2 linked regions of the Cricetulus griseus genome follow. The protein of the gene in region 1 interacts with the protein of each later gene in a biochemical or structural test. Links are inferred from orthologs where the notes say so. Each region holds a gene or a part of one and is shown on either strand. Other genes may lie near its edges.

Region 1 (3,813 bases):
TTAACTAATTAATAAGCAGAACAAATTTTTGAAGTTGGAGCCAGGGCAGTGGTGGACACCTGTGAACCTGCCACTTCGGAGGCCAAGTGTCAAGGGCTCTATGCTGGCCTGGCCTGTAATCCTAGCACTTGGAATGTGAGGGTAGGGGATGAAGACTTCCAGGCCAGCCTGAACTTATGAAATCCTACTTAAAAAAAGAAAAAGTAAAAGAGAAAGGAGAAGGAGAAAGAAAGGTGCATATGCCATGGACTGAAGCTTAGGAAACAGGCTATTAAAGGCTGAGTCCAGGCGCTGAAGAAGATCTCAGCCATGGAGAACACTGGCTGTTCTTGCAAAAAGCCTGGGTTTGATTCCCAGCGACCATATGGTTGGCAGCTACAACCATCGGAAACTCCAGTTCCAGGGGATCTGACATCTGCTCTGACCTCTGTAAGGATGGTACACACGGTACACAGAAACACATGCAGGCAAAATACCCATCCACATAAAATAAAATAAATACATCTAAAAAAATTAATCCCAACACTCGGGAGGCAGAGGCAGGCGGTTCTGTGAGTTCGAGACCAGCCTGGTCTACAAGAGCTAGTTCCAGGACAGTCTCCAAAGCCACAGGGAAACCCTGTCTTGAAAAACAAAAAAAAAAAACCAAAAAACAAAACAAAAAAAATATCTAAAAAGAAAAAAAAACCCAGCAAAGTCCAGAGCAGGTAAGGTAGCTCATGTTGTAAACCCAGCATTCAGGAGTCTACAACAGAAAGATCAATAATACAAGTCCACTGCCAGCTTGTGAGTGAGTCCCTGTCTCAAAAAGCAACAGAAGGGCTGGAGACATTGATGTGTAGGTAAGAGAATTTGTTGTGCAAACATGAGGTGCAGAGTTTGGGTCATAGCACACACAAGCTGGAGACCTGAGCTACGGGAGAACAGAGAGAGGAGGATCACTGGAGTTTGCAGACTTCTAGTCTAGCCAAGAAATCACAACACCTATGTCCAAGGAGAAACAGAATAAGCAGAGAATGATAGAGCACATCCAACACCCTCTTCCGTCCCCCACATGCACGCACAGGTGACCTGCATGTGCAGACACTCAAAGAACACACACAATAAAAATAAGTAAAAATAAAGGGGACATGTAGACTGAGGGTGTGTATATATAGCTCAGTGACAGTGAAGGCGCTTAGCACACCGAGGGTACTGGGACTAAGACCCAACACTGTAGAACCTGAAAGAGCAAAGCCTGACATAAGGCCCCCCACAAAAGATAAGGAGACCTGGACCCTGTCCTTACCAAGATGAAGTGAAGTGGCGCCACCCCTCCCCCAAATCATCACTACGCTTCAGTTCAGACATCTTAACTCCTTGAACCTTGGTTCTCAGGAAAACACACACCGTGCCAGGCCAAGGCAGGGTATTGTCCCGGTTCATCCATTACAAAAGCACTGGCGTCCCACTAAGAAAAAAATCCTGTATGTCACCTTCTGGTCCTAATGAATGACTCCCACTTGCTGCTCAGCAAAAGTGAAGTGTTGAGTATGTGAGACTAAATGGTGGTCCCAAAAGCTCAACTCTCCATCTCAAATGACAGTTTACCAATACCATGTGCTTAAGACTCATCGCGTCCACAGGAAATAAAAACTCAGTATTTCTCAAGCAGACCCTGTGTTCCAATGGGTGAGGCCTTTGAAGGAAACACCAGCGCTTTCAAAGCCACACCTGCCAGCCCAACGAGCTGCTGGTCTACCTGGAAAGAAGAAACCTCCTGCAACAGTGACTATAAAGCCACCCTAGACACTAAGGACACGGACAGACATAATGTCGCCAATACAATGAAAACAGCTACCCCTTACCTGGCTGCTGAACTGCCGACCACTGGCTGGATCTTTAGCAGCAACTAGCAGAATACAAAACATCATAAGTGAACACTCAATCAGAATTGATTATATTCAATCTACTAAGCTCTCCTTCTAAGCTCAGTATGGCTCCTGTCTTTGTTTTAACACCCACCCATTTTCATTGAAAACTTTTATATACAAGGCCCCACTTTGAACTGCAAAGTAGTCTCCTTAAAGGCCTCTGGAGAAAACAGCACCAGACACATTCTTCAAATATACCAAAGTCCTTACTTGCAACCTGGTGCATTTCTTCCATACAGGCCCGTATGACTGATCGGTAATTCTTACTCACTCGAACCAATCTACAAAGAAATGAAATGGCATACAAGAGAATATTAAAAAAAAAAAAAATAGGAAAAGGACAGGTGTTATTGTCTCACACCTTTACTCACAGAACTTTGGAGGCAGAGGCAGCTTGCAGCTCTGGCTGGCCTGGAACTCACTATGCAGACCAGGTTGGCTGCCTCATTTTCAAATCTCACAAAAATGAAATCTAATTCAAGGCTTTCCTTTTATTTATTTATTACATACAAGGGACACATACAAAAAAATGAAGTAGGAACTGTAAAGCTTATCAAGCCGGGCGTTGGTGGCGCAGCCTTTAAACCCAGCACTTGGGAGGCAGAGGCAGCCGGATCTCTGAGAGTTCTAAGCCTGCCTGGTCTCCAGAGTGAGTTCCAGGACAGGCTCCAAAGTCCCAGAGAAACAGTGTCTCGAAAAACCAAAACAAGAAAAAGAAGAGCTTATCAAACCAGTAAGTAAGTATTACAACAGTATTTATACAATTTAGAAGTCCCCTTCTGGGAAAATACACAGGAGACCCGTGGCCCCCCATCACTCACAAGGATAAGGACTTCAGCATCCACCAGCACCCTACTTACTGAGCTTTCCTGGATTTTCCGGTCAATTCCTCCTCAATTCTTTGCAGGCCAATGAAGATTCCATGGGATTCATTGAAGAGTTTTCTCAAAATCTGAGAGTAAACATCTACATCTTTCCGTACGATGTAGATAAAGGGGCAGCTCGGCACCTTCTCGGATGTGTCTACTACAGAACAGGGAAAAAAATTAATTCAACATCTACCATTTCCACAAAAGAGAAACCATTCTAGTATTTCTAGTTCTTTAATTACAAAAACTGGCTGAGCAGGGGGCACACATCTATACACTCAGCCCTTGTAAGACTAAAGTGGGACGATTAGAAATTACAAAATAATAGTCACATACAATTCCATGCAAGTTAGGCCTACCTTTAAAAAAAACCAACGTTTTCTTTTCAGAGGATGGGGAATTGGGGAATGTTGAGATGGGGTCTCACTCCATAGCCAAGAATGGTGTCAAAGTCTTGGCAATCCTGCCTCAGTGCTAGGATTACAAACGGGCAACACAGCAGTTTCCTCTTTCTGGTGATACTGATGATCTAATTAAGGGTGTTTCACACACTATACAAGTTTATCCCCCAAGCCACTCAGTGATATATTAAGTATCCTTGGTTTTGCTTTGGTTTTTGGCTTTTTTTTTTAATGTTTTTTTCGAGACAGGGTTTCTCTGTGTAGCTTTGGAGCCTGAACTGGCACTCGCTCTGGAGACCAGGCTGGTCTCGAACTCACAGAGATCCACCTGCCTCTGCCTCCTGAGTGCTGGGATTAAAGGCGTGCGCCACCACCACCACCGCCTGGCGTTATCCTTGGTTTTTGAGAAAGGGTTTGGCAATGTATCCCAGGCTGGCCTCGAACTCTCCACCCTCCTGCTACTACACTGCATGGCAGAGATTCCCGGACTGCAAGCATGGCATTAACTATTGGTTAATAAAGAAGCTGAACTGGCCAATAGCCAGGCAGAGCAGAGTCAGGTGGGAAATCCAAGCAGATACAGGAAGGCAGAGTCAGGGAGAGGCCAGCAGCCACAGGGGAAGCAAGATG
Region 2 (4,516 bases), on another chromosome or scaffold:
AATGGAGCTACAATGTAGGTTCTGGGAACTGAACCCAGGCTCTCTGTGAGAGCAAGTGCTGCTAGTGGTTGAGCAATCTCTCCAGCCCTAAGGTTTAAAAAACATTTTCTATGTGCAGTGAAGTTCATCTAAGTGCTCACGGCTGGTACAAGATATTTCCTCCTGAATTTTTAAGAAAAAATTTTATACTTAGATTTTTCTCTGACAGGTCTAGAGAGCTAATTCAGCAGTTAAAAGGATTTGCTGATCTTTCAGAGGGCTAGTGTTGGCTTCTCACCTCCTGCATGGGTTTTGTGAGCTCACACCTGCCTCTATTTCCAGCTCCTGAATGTCCAGAGCCTCTTCAGGCACCTGTCTTCACATGCACATATACACATGCAGACAGTTACATATAGATAACTTAAAATAAAGTAAAAATAAAGTTATTTTAAGGGCTGAGAAGATAGCTCAGCAGTTAAAAGCACATGTTGCTCTTCCAGAGGACCTGAGTTCATTTCCCAGCACCCACATGGCAGTTCACAACCTTCTGTAACTCCAGTTCCAGGGACTCCACCAGGCATGAACACATGCAATAGACACAAACATACAGGCAAACAAAATATTCACACACACAATTTAAAAATTTCAAAAATTAAATATTTTTAAAGATTTATCAAAAGAATAATAAATGCAATTGTTTTCCTACCTCTAAATCTGTCATGAATTTTTTTTGGGGGAGTTGGAGGTAGATAGTGCATAAAAACATATTCGCTAATAAAATTAAATATAGCCGGGCGGTGGTGGCGAGCGCCTTTAGTCCCAGCACTCAGGAGGTAGAGGCAGGTGGATGGATCTCTGTGAGTTCGAGATCAGCCTGGTCTACAAGAGCTAGTTCCAGGACAGCCTCCAAAGCCACAAAGAAACACAGTCTCAAAAAAAAATTAAAGTAAATATACATTTGTGAAAGTATAAAATCCAATGTGAAGCTCCACAGCTTCTGAATGGCTGAGCTAAATGTATGGAAGTTCATTGGATTGTATAGTCTTTGGGTCAGGTTAATTTTGGTGTGTGATGATTTTTTTTATTTACAACGTATTTTAAATTTATTTTATTTTTTTATTTACAACGTTTTAATAATAAAGTTTTTATAATGAACAAAAAACCCTAAATATTAAAAAAAAAACTTCTCACATTACACGACCATTGCACAAATAATATATTGTCAGTGTTCCTAGATTGATTTCGCCTTAGGAGTGTGTCTTTTTTGTTGAAGGTTTTAGGGGCTGGATCTTTGTTCATAACTACTTTCAAGAGTGCGGTATCACAACCTCCTTCAGTTTAGGGGCTGGCGCGTCCTCCTGATGTCGAGAATTGGCTGTCTGCAGCCACCGTCTTTCCCGTGGGGTCTCATCCAATCAGAACCGCGCAGGAAGGGGCGGGCCTGAGGAGCGCGCAGTGTGCTTTCTGCTGAAGCTTCTTCTAGATTTCAGCATGGAGGAAATTTATGCTAAGTTCGTGTCTCAGAAAATTAGCAAGACCCGCTGGCGGCCAGTGCCTTCTGGGAGCCTGCAGACCGCAGAGACCTTCGCTACGGGCTCTTGGGACAATGAGGTACCCGGCCCCGGGCGGGTCCCCGGCTGCTCTGCTCCACGCCCCTCGCGCCAGCGCGCGAAAGCAGCTTATGGCTTGCGGGTCTCCTGCTTGGCTGCCCTACCTCAGAGCCCTGGTGGTGTATTTGAGCCTCGGATCTGGTTTTAAACCTTCACCAAGTTTGTAGACATACCGTCCGAAACGGGCCACATCTCTGATCGTTTCAGATCTTAACATACCGTTTGTCTGAGATGCTTTTGGAGCAAGGACGCCCGAAAGGCAGTCTGAATTAGTTGACGTTTTCGTCACCCCAAGATAAAACTTTCTGCTTTGCAGGAAAACTGCGTTTCACTGTGGTCTATTGGAGATTTTGGGAATTTGGATTCTGACGGAGGGTTTGAAGGAGACCATCAATTACTGTGCGATATCAGACATCATGGTGATGTCATGGATTTACAGGTAAATCTGAGTTGTCCCCCAAAGCTAAACTTGGAAATCTGATCATACATTTAGCACCGTATAGTTCGTCTACTGTCATTCCTGGTTTACAGGACACTAATCTCTGAATTGTAATTTACTACATCGTTGTTTAGGCACTTAGTGACAGAAGTGGGGTTGGGAAAGTGAATTTGTGTCAATCAGTTTGAAAATTAATTGTCCAAGCCGGCATGTGGGTGCAAGCCTCTAATTCCAGCCCATGGCAGGCAGAGGCAGGAGGGATCACAAGGCCAGACTGAGCCACATTTTGAGACCTTATCTCAAAAAACAAACAAAATTTGCCCATCTACTTGCCAAATGCTGTTTGGTGAGTGTTATACAGGTATGTTAATTTGCATTGCATGTCTGTGAGTCAGGGTTTATCATGTGTTGTGATGGGGATGCTCTCAGGATCTCACATGTGCTAGGGAAGTGCTCTCTACCTTTGAGTGTATGTATCCCAGCCGTCAAGTTCTGTTCACCACTTTACTAATCAGACAGATGAGACTGGTATCTTTTGAACATATAGAAAATATTGTGCAGGACTGCTCTTCTATGGTTTCTTTAACAACTTAGTAGAAATTAGATGAGCTTGGGCATCAGAGAGTCTCCCTCATAAAAAAAAAATCTGTATCAATTCAGATGCAGTGCATTTTACTCAGTAAAAAGCTGCCTACTCTTACGATTGACACATTTCAAGACTTTTATCATTGCAGCCCCAAATCAAAATGTAGAGTAAAACTTTAAACTTACTATTTATCCTTCATGAAAATACTCATAGTTTATATAAAAATTTCTTAAACATTTTAACACATTTAACATATTTTATTTGTTTCAGCTGCTTGCTTCTTTAAATCCTTACAAGGTTTGCTATTAGTCAAGGTGAAGTAATGGACTTTTTTCTCCTTAATATTTCCAAATCTATAATAATAAGCAGAATTTTTCTATTTAGTTTTTTGATCAGGAAAGAATCGTAGCTGCTTCGTCAACAGGATGTGTAACAGTGTTTCTTCATCATCCAAATAACCAGGTAAAGAACCTTCACAGGGAAAGTGAACTTTTATTTTAATTATTTATGAGAAGACTTACAGAAGATTGTGTGTAATGAGTTCACAGTGTTTTACAGTGTTTAAACATGAAGCGAGTCAATCATGGGCATTCTCTTGGAGCTCCTACATTTGCAGAGGTTGAAAAAAAAGAATTGTTTGATCACAGTAGCTGAAGACTAGATTGGGCAACACAGCACAATCCTAGCTTAAAGAGGAGTCATGATAGGAGAGGATACTGTCCACTTTTTAGAGGTTGATGAGGGTCAAAACATGCATTTTTGCACTGAGCTTCACCCCCAGCCCCATATTACTTTTTGATAAAGTCTACATCATGCTTACATACGTGTCTTCGGAAATTGGACATCCTTTAAATAAACTATTTATTAGCTCTAGCAGTAACATCTGCTGGTGGTAATTTCCCTACAGTGTTTTGTCAGCTCCTTTCATAGTCTTTTAGAGTTGAAAGGAGAAAGCCAGCACCCAGGCTTGAATGCATGCTCAGCTTCTATCTCAAATATCAAAAGGAGGGCAGAACAGCTGTTTTATTTTTAATGGGTAGAAGCCAGGTTTTCAGAAAACCCATGACTTAAAGACCTTTCTCTTGGGGCGGGTGAGGTGGCTCGAGAGTGTGTACTGCTCTTGGAGAGAACCCTGGTTCCATTCCTAGCACCCACACCAGGTACCTCACAATAGCTTATAAAGCTTATTACTCCAACTCTAGAGGATCTAATATGCTCGTCTAGCCTGAGTAGGCACCGGCACAGGTGTGATGCACATAAACTCAGGCAGGCAGGCACACACACATACTCATAACTTTGTTTTTTTGCGACAGGATCTCATTATTGTAGACCTGGCTGGTCTGGAACTCACTATGTCAATCAGGCTGGCATTAAACTAAGAAATCCCCCTGCCTCTGCTTCTTGAGTGCTGGGATCAAAGGTATGTGCCACCATGCCCATCTGTAATTCATTTTCTTAATGGAATCATGTAGAAAAAGATGTAGAGGTTAGTCCCTTATGTATTAGTTTATTCCCCTAACATTCAGCTACTTGGTAACAAAAATTAGTAGTTTGAAATAAATGTGGTGAGTCTAATTAGAATGTACAAAAATTTGATGGAAGTAGTTTCTAAACATCAGTATGCTCAAATACAAAGAAAAGGGGAGAATTGTTCTCCTACAAGGACATAAGATATAATAAGATATAATCTTATAATCTTAAAAATACTGTTATTGGGCAGACTTGGTGGCTCACTTATAATCCCAAACACTTGGAAGTCCTGTCTCAAAAAAAAAAAAAAAAAAAAAAAAAATTCTGGGAAGAAGGGCTCATTCTTCAGAACTTTGCTCTGATTGATAACATGCTCATTTCTGATGCCTAGACTCTGTCAGTCAATCAGCAGTGGCCAGCAGCTCACCACCA

Evidence for each region.
Region 2: the proteins of Nup85 (region 1) and Nup43 form a complex in vitro, tested with the Homo sapiens proteins (2 studies listed by BioGRID). The link is inferred for Cricetulus griseus from reciprocal best matches to the Homo sapiens genes NUP85 and NUP43.

What each region holds. Positions count from the first base shown.
Region 1 is NC_048600.1:128,160,448-128,164,260, reverse strand, and holds part of Nup85 (nuclear pore complex protein Nup85), read right to left. Parts: intron 2,940-3,813; coding exon 2,774-2,939; intron 2,195-2,773; coding exon 2,124-2,194; intron 1,892-2,123; coding exon 1,848-1,891; intron 1-1,847. UniProt on the Homo sapiens protein: Essential component of the nuclear pore complex (NPC) that seems to be required for NPC assembly and maintenance. As part of the NPC Nup107-160 subcomplex plays a role in RNA export and in tethering NUP96/Nup98 and NUP153 to the nucleus.
Region 2 is NC_048595.1:280,415,589-280,420,104, reverse strand, and holds the start of Nup43 (nucleoporin Nup43), read left to right. Parts: upstream 1-1,403; 5' UTR 1,404-1,470; coding exon 1,471-1,590; intron 1,591-1,905; coding exon 1,906-2,028; intron 2,029-2,998; coding exon 2,999-3,076; intron 3,077-4,475; coding exon 4,476-4,516. UniProt on the Homo sapiens protein: Component of the Nup107-160 subcomplex of the nuclear pore complex (NPC). The Nup107-160 subcomplex is required for the assembly of a functional NPC.